3 linked regions of the Danio rerio genome follow. The protein of the gene in region 3 interacts with the protein of the main gene of each other region in a pairwise test. Links are inferred from orthologs where the notes say so. Each region holds a gene or a part of one and is shown on either strand. Other genes may lie near its edges.

Region 1 (4,440 bases), on a different chromosome or scaffold from region 3:
AAATTATACATAATTATATGCATGAAAACACTATACCTAACGCTAACCATCTAGAAAGTACATTGATTAGTTAATTAATATTACTTGGTACTTAGTCCCAATATACCGGAAGCTGTGATCATTATTTTAAGTATTGTGACACAGTTCCTAGAGAAACCGAATTTTAAATGAGCAAACAGTGGGCATTGCTTGTTTTGTTTTGTTTTTATCGCAGGCTAAATGGATGTAGTAAAGGGTTTTTAGAAGAGTTATTACAACTTAACAGACTCCTCCTCACCATTTGTTTGTTGTCAAAACTGACAGTTGAACCAGCCTGATTAAATATGTTAGCCACGCCCATTACCTCTAAGTAATGTAATATGATAATTTAACTGTAAACAAACAGGAAGTGCATTTTCAGATTTTCATTAAAGATCAGAAGGGCAAACATTTTTTTCTTAATGACATGCACAGATAAATTGTTCACCACAAAACTGGCAATGTGAGCTAACAAAATCCTATGATTAGTTTTGATTTCTTGGGGACTTTAAATGTATAGTTACACTGCAAAATAAAGTGTGACAAATATTTATCCAATATGTTTAAAATGCAGAACAATGTGACTGAAGTTTTATTATTTAAAAAGTTGTGTCATTTGATTAATTTGGACTTGCAGAAAACAACACGGATGTTTCAGGTGTAAAGTGCGTTTTTTTAAATAAGAGAAAAGTTCTAAAACTACACATATTAAGTGTAATTACACTTGTGTACTGTTCAAATTGACTACCCTTTGGTTATGTTGGTGGCTGTTTTTGCTCCACTGACTTCCATTATAACGACATTTTTTTATTGCAAAGCCATGGCACCAAATAATCGTGCATTCTTGATCGTTGGTGTTTTCCCCTGTTTGGATGAGATAAATCTTTATATTTTTACTGTTGATCATCAGTTAAAAGCATAAACTCTTTAGATAGACCTGTGCAAAAAAGTTTCTGACTTTTCTATGGAGGAAAACAGCAGATTATAGTGTGCGTGCATAAATACACTTGATATAAGTACTAGTATATGTTCTGAGAACTCAGCTGCTTATTTTTGTATTTTCTCAAACATAAAGGTAAGTGCGCAAAGGTCTCTTTCACACACACACACACACACACACACACACTATACTTCATACAACGATATAACTTTTGTCCAGAAAATAAGTTTTTTTTGCTCTGCAACTGATGATCAACAGTAAAAATTTGTACATTTACCTCTTTCCAACAGGGAAAACCACCAACAATCAAAAAGCATGATTACAAAATGTACTTATAATGAGAGTCAATTCGGCAAAAACAGCCAAGAACATAACAAAAGGGTAGTACATTTGGCCAGAGTGTATTATTGAATTTTTGAAAATATTTTAAAGCATTTTCCCAAAATATGTGTCTAAATAAGATGTCACCAAAAATCATTCCATTTGCTGAAACGCAGAGAAAATTGTGGCTAAATTAAGACTCAAAATCACCCCAGAGTGAATGAAAACATCCCCAACAGCACACATGGGTTAATGTGCATCTGACACGTATTATATTTGGTAGTCCTATTAAAGGGATTGTGTAACCAAACATTTAAATTTACACACCAAGTTGCATACACTTTTTTTCTCCTGCTAAGTTAAAAAGACATTTTAAAGAAAGCTGGAAACTGGTAACCGTCTGACTTATATTGTAGAACAAACAAATACTATGGAGGTCAATGGTTACAGCTTTTCTGGTTGTTTCACCTTTTGTGTTCAGCAGAAAGAAACTGAAACAAGTTTTTAACAAGGGTTAGTAAATATTGACAAGTTTATGTTTTGGGTGAACTATCCCTTAAAGCCAGGTTATTCAAATGTATTTATTTTTTTATTTGTTTGTAAATATTTTTTTTTTTACAAGTGAAAGGTGAGTAAATAATGACAGACCTTTCTGTTTTGGGTTAACTACCACTTTAAGCTAGTGGATTACAGTTTTTATTAATTATTTTGGCAAAAAAAAAAAAGACATTCACATGCATACAAATTTTTTAAAGTACTGTAAGTAAAAATAAGTATTTTAGTAAAATACGTATTTTAAAACATTTAGCTAAAATATAAGTTATATATAACAAACTTCTTCTAGTGAACCCCCCAAAAAACGAACTATTTGGATATTCAACAGGTTAAAGTCAGTGTTTTACCTTCGACTTTCTGATGCTCGGCTGACACGTCTGCGACCACACAGTGGTAAAACGGGTGCTCTCCGAAACCGTCCTCGAGCAGATCTAAACACAAAACTATTGTTGTAACTGTGGGCAAAATATTGATCAGATCTCACATCAGACACGTTGACGGACCTCACCTTTCTCAGTTATAAGAACTTGGTCTTCCATTTCTTCATACTTCGCGAGTTCCTGCAGAAGTTAGTAAAGAAAAGATGCTTTCAGAACAGTTGGACGAACACCAAGTCCTGTAGGCGGTTGGCCTATAGGGGTTGTTGTCATAGAAGGGCATATTTGGATATTTTGTAACCATTTGAACATAATAAATCAAAATAAGTGTGACAATAACTTTTTAAATTAGTACTTAGGAGAGGACATCAAAACGGGAATATTTATGCACTTGTTAAAGAAGTTTCGACAGAATATTCTGTAGTCCGAATATATATATATATAAATTGTACAATTCTACCTTTATGAGTCGCAATATGTCAGGCACGTCTTTGGGCTCCGCTTTACGCAAATTAAAATTGGCCATTTTCTTCTTTTACTCTTTTTCCCTTTTCTCACTAGTCCTCTATATGTGAAGTGAAGCAAAAGGTGTTTCTTCATTCGCTGTCCCGGGTTTTACCCTGCGCTGTCAAGTTTGGGCTTCTCCTGTGTGGGACTCGCATGCAGCAACTGACCCGGCGGATTTCACCTGGCTTCAGTAAATGTCCTTTGTTTATCAATGTCGAGCATATATTTGCCGGCGGGGAGGGGTTTAATCACCATAATAACGTTTTTTTCCTTTCGCGAACCAATAGGAGGTGTCCATTTGAGGTTCGTCATGACGCACAGCCCTTGTTGATGAATATGTATAAGTAAGATCAAAATACTGTAGGAATGTTGTTGCTCTTGGTGAATATACGTTAGTTTGAACGACATTTCCTTCATAATGATGCAGAAAAGATTAAAGTTCATGTCAAACGTTGTTTGAAGAGCGTTTCTCAAAACTTTATATGTCCCGCTTATCACACTGAAAACATTCAAAACTATGTCGTATTTACGGTAAAGGTTGAACCGTTAAGTGAAGGAAAATTCCTTAAAGATGCGCTTTTGTTATGGTTAATGCGGTAGTTAAGCCGCACCCACCACTATACGTTTCAGGAAATGCGAATCACTGCCCAGAAGGCTGACATCTCTGCTAGAAGCGTGCGGTTGTTTATATCAGCAAAAATCCGTGTTATTATACAATAAAGTGGTGAGCCAAGAACAAGGAAGATGCTTTCTCCGCGGTGAGTTTCACAATTATGTCTTGCGTCCCGCTTTTGTTGTGTACATCATTTGTGAGTCATGAATGAAGAGTTACAGACTAGTTCTGTCTCATTTTGTTCATCTTTTTATTGTAATTTTATTACGTGGCTATCAGTAGTTTTGTAATGTCCCCATAGACACGAATTTACACGTTTTTTATTCTTTATAGGGTCCTGAAGTCTGCATCGTCCCTGATGTGTAGAGGATTTTCTATGGGGCAAATGTGTAGACAAGGGAAAGCACCTGATATGGCAGATGGTATTTTTATATATATAAAAATGAATAAGTCATTCATTCATTCATTTTCTTTTCGGCTTAGTCCCTTTATTGATCTGAGGTCGCCACAGTGGAATGAACCACCAACTTATGCAGCATGTTTTTACGCAGCGGATGCCCTTCCAGCCGCAACCCATCTTTGGGAAACATCCACACACACTCATTCACACTCATACACTACAGACAATTTAGCCTACCCAATTCACCTGTACCGCATATCTGTGGACTGTGGGGGAAATCGGAGCACCCGGAGGAAACCCATGCGAACGCAGGGAGAACATGCAAACTCCACACAGAAACGCCAACTGACCCAGCCGAGGCTCGAACCAGCAAGCTTGCTTGCTGTGAGGCGACAGCACTACCTACTGCGCCACTGCGTTGCCTGAACAAGTTTTACACATACGCATATATAAATACATATACATGCATTAATACACAGCTATTGAAAAAGTTTCTTTAGAATTATTGTGGGCTAGAGTAAAATGTTCATTCATTCATTCAGATGCCCTTCTAGCTGCAACCAAACACTGGGAAACATCCATACTCTTGCACCCCAAAGGCATGTAGGTGAAGGTGAATTGGATAAACTAAATTGGCCGTAGTGTATGTGTGTAAATGTGTGTGTATGGGTGTTTTCCAGTACTGAGTTAGAACTGGAAGGGCATCTGT
Region 2 (4,281 bases), on a different chromosome or scaffold from region 3:
ATGTCATAAAGCGTGAATCATCTCAGACTGGTTTCTTGAACATGACAATGAGTTTACTGTATTCAAACGGTCTCCACAGTCACCAGAACTCAATGCAACAGAGCACCTTTGGGTGATAGAATGGGAAATTCAATCTGCAGCAACTGTATAATGCTATCATGTCAATATGGACCAAAATCTCTGAGGAATATTTCCAATACCTTGTTGAATCTATACCACAAAGGATTTAAAGGGGGTCCAACCGAGTACTAGTAAGGTGTACCTTATAAAGTGGCCATTGAGTGTATCTAAAATAAAGCACAAAATACAAATAAGATACAAAGAGTGTAAGCAATTCAAAATGAGGTACTGATGTAACAGGGGATTTTTAAATAGGGGATGACAAGATCATGTTTTCCAAGGCTAGTGTTACCTGAACCAGAGAGTGTTTCAAAATATTGTTGCAATTATTTTATGGATACCATAAAAATACCTTTATTATTGGAGAATTTGCAATTATAGATGTGATATTTTGCAAGTAAATGGTTAAGGAACCTTTCAGACCAAAAATGGTGGCGTAAAAAATGGTGCTATAAAAGGATTAAGCTGAAGGAAAATGAATGAATACATGGTTTCATTAGTCTTTGTCATGATGACATGACTTATTTTCCAAGATACTAGTGTAAAGTGCATAACTAGGTTAATTACTTTAACTCTAAAATAGTTTTTAATAAAAATTTAATTTTATTCCAGCCAAACTAAACAAAATGAGACTTTCAAGAAATTGTTATCTAATAAGAGCCTTTTTCTCAGCCTCCTATTTTTATTTTCAGTTATTTCACAGTAAGGGAACCAATTATTTGCCATAAAAGTGAAAACACTGAACTTAAACACAGAAACCGAAGAAGAATGATTCTTTTTTTATTATGTTTTAGCATTTTTGGGTATGCTAACATTGACCGTAGGATGAAAGGGCATCCGCTGCGTAAAACATATGCTGGATAAGTTGGTGGTTCGTTCTGCTGTAGCAACCCCAGATTAATAAAGGGACTAAGCCGAAAAGAAAATGAATGAATGTTTTGGCATTTTTTGCAACTCTTTGTAGACAAAATATAGAGGGGGTGGTATTACTATAATTAATTGACAGAAATGCAATTTAATATGCAGGGCTCATCAATAAGGACTGCCCGATGGCCCAGGGCCAGCGTAAGAGGTCCTCGGGACAGTAGATGGAATCGTTACTGGCCCGATTGGTGCAGTGCTGCCTCGTCACTAAATTTTAATAGACAGCAACATAATCACAATATCAAATTATGAAGCTAAAAGAAAACGTCAGCTTTTAACGTTGTGGAAACATTTAGATGGGTACAACATGATGAAAAAAATGAAGTGATGTTTTACTTACGATTTGCCGTCACTTTTAAGTCAGCCACCTTTTGTTTTGCAATAAAATACCTGCACATTTTCCACACTATATTTTACTGCTAAATATTTTAACATTTTTAAAATATTTAAATTCTAGATTAACAGACAATATTTTGTGACACATTTTTAATATATGTGGCTAAGAAAAAGCAATTACCTTTTTTTTTTGTTGTTGTTTTGGTGTGGCCCGTAAAAATTTTGACAGGGCAAGTAAAAATCTGAGCCACTGGTCCAAACGGGCCAGTAGGAAAAATCCTTAGTGTTAAACCCTGATATGTAATAAATATATGTGAAATATATAGTTTTATAGATTTAATTGTGATTGTAGTACATAATAGTATAAAATATTAAGTTCATATTCAGTAAGACTTTATTTTGATGGTCCCTATTTGCAATTTGTGCATGACTAAAAGTTGCATTGCAACTACATGCCAATTACTTCTCATTTGACTGTCTGCTAAAATCTGTTAATACTGACGTTTAACTGACTATATATAACTTTGCAAGTACATATCAACTTACAATAACCCTAACCCTAAACCGAACCCCAACCTAATAGTCTACTTATAATCTAATGAGAATTAGTTGCCATGTAGATGCAATATAACCAAATGTAACCAATGGATCAAAATAAAGTGATACCAAAATAGTATAAAACATTAAATAAACATTCTTTCATTCCTTTTAGAGAATCAAATCAGATTTAATATTTGCAAATCAAAATCGAACTGGACATCTGATACTATTTCAATTCATATTCAGTACCTCAGTGTCAGTGTCAAGTATGTGAACTTTTTGCTCTGTTTTATAATGTTTGTGTGTGTTTCAAATCCTAAATTTACACATACATTTAATTTAATTTGATTAATAATAATAATTTTTACAATAATAATAATAGTTAATCTACCTGCTGGTAGTGCATTCGGGTCTTGTCACGTTCAGCTGTGAGCACTTTAACATTGGCCTGGGTCTCTGAGAGATGCCGCTCATGTTTGTCCAGCATGTTCTGCAGCTCATCTCTTTCTCGTAACACCCTCATCAGCTCTGAATCAAATGAGCCGCCCTTAAATAAAACAGAAAGTCGACTCAGCATTAAAAGAATAAAGGAGTTAGTATTAAGACAAGGCACTGCAGGAGAATAGGATTATAAAAACGAATAGCTAACGTCCTATTTCCCTAGTTGATATATTACATTCAGAATTGCAAACATCTTTTTTGTATTACAAGTGTTTAAAATGTTTAAATACATACATTTCTGGAACACAAATCTGAAGTCAAGTCAGAATTCATGTTTATTTTTTTTTAATTTTTTTTATTTTAACATATTGGTGGAAATATTTTAATCACTCCACAATTCAGAAAAATATATCAAGAAAACAAATATTTATTTTTTTGCAAATTAAGTTTTAAAAATTTCTGTTCATAGTACTTTAACAGGTGAGTGTCTGACAGGACTGCGGTGAGTCGATGCCCCTTTGACAGGGCTGGTGGAGCGACGAGGCCTCAACATCTCTTACAGTTCCTCCTAAATCAGAATATTGTGAAACAGACATGGAATGAATAAAAATACATCCATACATACAGATGTAAAGAAAATTACAGATACATATGAGACACCTACTTTAAAAGATTAACCTAGCGTTTATAGCATAAAGCAACAGCTACCAGGGTTATCACCACAGGCTCTCTGACCCAGTTTTGACGGTTTCTGCTGCCCCCTGTTGGATCAAAAATGTTACTACAACTTGAAATTTTCAAATTCATATTTTATTTTTCACATACAGTCATGCACATGCAGTGAAATGCTTATACAACTGCCCATGAACTAGATTATAAACAAGAAATAAATTCTGAAATAAAAGAAAAAATTAAATACAGACAGGCTTTAGCTATAGAAAATATAACTATAGAAAATTTGAACAAACTACAAGATATTAAAAATGCTTAGCTATGTAAATATAGAAAACTTTAGCTGTAGATTTACACTATGTACAGTGAAAGAATTGGCATACACTTTTAATATATATCTTCCTGTATATTATTATAGCCAGGGATAGGCAAAAATACATTGAAATGTATTTTAAAATAAAATACCTCAGTTTTACAAGTATCAAAATAAACAACAAAATACAGCAGCAACAAATGTATCAAAATAAAATACTGTATCTTTGTATTTTGAAAATAAAAAATACTTTTACAAGGGAGCATGACATTTCTTCACAAACCTTCCATCAACGGGCATATTTGATCAATCCCTTCACCATTAAACAAACTTTCTCTTTCATTTTAGCATAAATTTTGTCCTGTCTTAAAGATGATCTCTTTATGTAAAAACCATGCAATGTAGATAATAAGTTAGAATATAGTTGATCTCTTCATTGCGTCTTATATCTCTATCAAATACAAATTACAAAATATTCATTCATTCATTTTCTTTTCGGCATAGTCCCTTCACCAATCTGCGGTCGCCACAGCGAAATGAACCGCCAATTTATCCATCATATGTTTTACACAGCGGATGCCCTTCCAGCTGCAACTCATCACTGGGGAAACATCCATACACACTCATTCACACACATAACACTACGGTCAATTTTAGCATACCCAATTTACATGTCTTTGGACTTGTGAAGGTCCATCCAACACAGGGAGAACATGCAAACTCCACAGAGAAATGCCAACTGACCCAGCTGAGGCTCGAACCAGCGACCTTTTTCAAATTTCAAAATACTATTTTGTATTTGAAATACGTATCTGAAATAGACGTATCAGGGATACTGCCTATCCTTTATTATAGCTAACATATTATTTTATCCTATGGACTATGAAGACTCGTTTATACTGTAAATTTGAGATTAAAAAATCATAAATAATATG
Region 3 (3,653 bases):
AATGTAAAAAAGAGATGTGATTCCGTGTTGCAGGAGACAGAGATCTGAGCCACCTAAGGGAAGCTCTGTCACACAGCAGGGAGGAGCTGGAGGCATCAGAATCAAGCCGAATGGAGACACTGAGGCACTGTGAAGAACAAGAGGGGACCATCGCGGAGCTCCGCACTGAGGCCCAGAGACTCCAGCAGCAGTGTGACTCAGGTGTGTGTGAAGAACAGCTTCCCCTCCCCCCCGCTGAAAGCATTTGGTATTCACTTCACAGATTCCTTCTTTCTTTCATTCTCATTGCTAATAGTCTATTAACACTGTGTTTAACACTTGGGGAATTCTGCTGACTTCAATTGCTCGTGGCTGCAGGCTAATCATGCAACTCTGCTTGCAATCGCTCGTGTTCTCTGGTGAAGAATCGTTTGTGCTTTTGTGTATCCGTCTAATATTTGCTCAGGTTTGGCTGTAGAGTACAGATGCTTATATTTAAGGATGCGAAAGCTGATTGTGCCTGTTTCTGCAGTTTTACAAAGGGTATCAGAAGTTGAAAGTGTGTGTGCAGAGAAGCTCAGGGACGTGGAGGCTCAACTCAACACGGCGAGGAGAGAGCACACCAAAGCAGGTATACAGACTTAACATGCTAATGCTGATGTCATGGCTAGTTTTTGTGAATGATGTTCTGAATATGTGTGTGTGCGTGCAGTGGTAGCTTTGAGGCAAGTTCAGAGGCAGGTGGAGAGAGAGAAAGAACAGATGAAAGAAGCCGAGAGAGAGAGAACAGAACACACACACAGACAGATCACACATCTGCAGAAACAGCTGAAAGACAAGGACAAAGACTGCAACCTTCTCCTGGTGAGTCACACTCGCACACACACAAGCCCACACACTCTTTTTGAGGGGGCATCAGCGGCAGTCCTGGCTCACTTGGTGCCCTGGGTGAGGTAGGACCTAAAAAAAAAAACTAGAAACGTATGGAAGGAATAAAGGACAAAGAAAGACTGCATTCCACTGGATTTTTAAATCTTTGATTATGATTATTTAAATGAATTTGTAGATGTTTTTAAATTAAAGTCATCATGAAATCAAGAAGATCAACATATTTGCACATATGTGAGATTACTGTGAAATAAAACCTAGCTGCAAATTTCAAAGCTCTGTGTTCAGTTAGATTTCTTAAGGAATTAATTTAGATGTGCTATAGAATGCATTGATTCAATGTTAACTCATTCTCTAATGCTTAGGTTAGTTAATGAATTCTTCAGAAATTATTTTATATGTTCATTTATAAACAGAAATTCCACCTATCAGAAGCGCGTGTTTGACCATATTTGGAACTGTTGTGTATAATAATGAGTTGTGCTCTGATTCTTTCACAGCACATCAATGACTACGTTTACCTGGACATCAATAATCAAATTATTTGCCTTAATCTAATTAAGACAATAATGAGATTAAGGCGTTTATATGAGTTGCTTTTTAAAAGTTTCCTTCATGATCCCGTTTTACATGTTAAAGCACATAATTCGATTAACGTCATTGTGTCACAGCGAAATTCACATTTCCTCCGGATTTTCATGTAATTTCGTGTGTTTCATTTTATATTTGTCGACTTTAACTGCAGTTTGGCACTTTCATTTTCATTTAGGAACATTTCATGCATGCCCCCTGTGACAAACGAGATATTAGATGCTACTATGACCTGCTGGACAAGTGTAGTTTTAATGGAAGTTCATATCGCACACTGAAAGGAGGTAAAAAGCCTACAACATTTCACGACGCAGGTGTCTGTGGTCTGCTCTGACTCGGTAGGTGCAGAGAGTGTCAAACAGATGTGTGTATGTGGACTATCCTATTGCAAAACGCGTCAAAAAGTTCTACATCAAGTTAATAGTTCGATTAAGGTGTTTACATGTGTGTTCAATAATGCGACAAATCGGCATACTCCAAATGTCTTAATTAGATTTTTCTTTAGTTCGATTATGAACTTAATCTGATTAAATTAATCAAAAATCGCTGTTTACATGGTCGACTCTTAATCAGAGTATTGTCTTAATCGCATTAAAATCGAATTTCTGGTGTCCTTGTAAACATACTCACTGTCTGCTCTATCTTTCTCTATAGCCCCTTTCACACATACAGACCTTTCCGGAAAATTACAGGCAATTTTTCGGAAAGGTCTTAATGTGTGAATAGGCCCTTTTTGAAAAAATGGTAAATTTGTTCCGGCAATTGTAGTGGTTTCTGGTTTTTCTCTTACTAAATCAAACTCAGTCTGGAGGTTATGAATATCAGAAGAATATACTTTATTGTCAATAATAAAGTATATATATTGTCTATAATTTGAATATATAGATTAACTTCACACTTTAAAGAGTATAAAATCCACTTCACAATTTCCTGAAAAGAGAAGTTGTAACATTACCAGTAATTTGCCGGAATGCAGCTCTGTGTGAATGCAGAATTAAAATTGCCGGAAAGAGCGTGTGCACAATTAGAACGCACCTATGTGAAATGTCTTCTCCAGCCAATTAGAACAGTCAGACACACATCTGCGCTGTTTGTGAAAATAAAAGCTTTTGAATATTTTCTCGACACATTTAGCTGCTAGCTGTTAGTCGGATAACATTTCTAAGTTTCTTCTTGATGTCAACTGTGTAAAAAAATATCGATTAAATGCTTATAATAGCAGCCGGTGAGCGCCAGCACACACACACATATTATGTACATCTCCACATGGAAAAGTGTTCCTCCATATGTTTTTATTGAAGCTGTTCCCAATACTTATCCATCAATAGGATTTGTAATGTCTTCAAATATGTAAACATTTAGCTGTACTTTGTGTTTCTGCCTTTTGGATGTCTCAGGAAATAAAAAAATATTTATTAAAAAGTTTTAAAGTGAAATCAACAAAAGCCCGACCCCTTCTATGTTTACAAATACAAGTGCAGCCATTCAGAGGTCATTTCTGGTTGATGATGTCAGAATTTGCCGGTATTTTAGAATGGATGTATGAATGGTCTTTTCCGGAAAAATTCTCCTTACATCCTTATCCTTAACAGCGCTTTATTGAATTTACCGGTAAAGTCGTTTTTCGGATATTTATCGGTATTGCTATGTGAAAGGGCCATTTATATCTCTCTCACTCACACATATGCACGCACTCACATAATAATACTTAATTTGTCAAAAACCTTTAAGCAAATTGAGTAGAAAGCTTGTTAAATAGTTTTCAAGTGAAGTGGGTGTAGAGGTTTATTTTAGCTTAGAGGATTGAGTGAGCTATCTTTACCTAGAAAACTCCCCCTGAGTTGTTTTGTGGATGAAGGATAGTATAAGTTATTAGTATTCTTGACAAAATGGACAGGGATGTGTTTACAGTTATTTACAGTTAGCATTAAAGTATTTGAAAATACTTTTTATATTTATATCACATTTATATCAATCCTTTCTGAGAACGTTTTATTTTTAAATGAGGAGAAAAAATCGTATTACATTTAGGCCACAAGACTTGTCGGACTGTAAACGCCCTAGGTGCAGCAACTTGGAGGAGTTTACATCACCCCAGGTACATAACCTTGGCGTTGTATTAGAACTTAAAATTTAATACACATTTTTCAAGTGTGGTTGGAAATAGCTTTTACCAACTTCACCTTCCTTTAAAA

What was found. The genes of interacting proteins can lie anywhere in the genome.
Region 1: the proteins of si:dkeyp-20g2.1 (region 3) and sat1b interact in binary tests that used the Homo sapiens proteins (3 or more experiments, as listed by UniProt). The link is inferred for Danio rerio from reciprocal best matches to the Homo sapiens genes CCHCR1 and SAT1.
Region 2: the proteins of si:dkeyp-20g2.1 (region 3) and tsga10 interact in binary tests that used the Homo sapiens proteins (3 or more experiments, as listed by UniProt). The link is inferred for Danio rerio from reciprocal best matches to the Homo sapiens genes CCHCR1 and TSGA10.

What each region holds. Positions count from the first base shown.
Region 1 is NC_133199.1:25,853,314-25,857,753, reverse strand, and holds the start of sat1b (diamine acetyltransferase 1b), read right to left. Parts: upstream 2,915-4,440; 5' UTR 2,738-2,914; coding exon 2,672-2,737; intron 2,395-2,671; coding exon 2,343-2,394; intron 2,266-2,342; coding exon 2,182-2,265; intron 1-2,181. Other genes in the region: acot9.1 (acyl-coenzyme A thioesterase 9, mitochondrial), read left to right, coding at 3,463-3,476, 3,665-3,753. UniProt on the Homo sapiens protein: Enzyme which catalyzes the acetylation of polyamines. Substrate specificity: norspermidine = spermidine >> spermine > N(1)-acetylspermine. This highly regulated enzyme allows a fine attenuation of the intracellular concentration of polyamines.
Region 2 is NC_133176.1:52,964,957-52,969,237, reverse strand, and holds the start of tsga10 (testis-specific gene 10 protein), read right to left. Parts: upstream 2,915-4,281; coding exon 2,834-2,914; intron 2,468-2,833; coding exon 2,312-2,467; intron 1-2,311. UniProt on the Homo sapiens protein: Plays a role in spermatogenesis. When overexpressed, prevents nuclear localization of HIF1A.
Region 3 is NC_133180.1:24,140,764-24,144,416, reverse strand, and holds part of si:dkeyp-20g2.1 (coiled-coil alpha-helical rod protein 1), read left to right. Parts: intron 1-33; coding exon 34-201; intron 202-511; coding exon 512-610; intron 611-691; coding exon 692-843; intron 844-3,653. UniProt on the Homo sapiens protein: May be a regulator of keratinocyte proliferation or differentiation.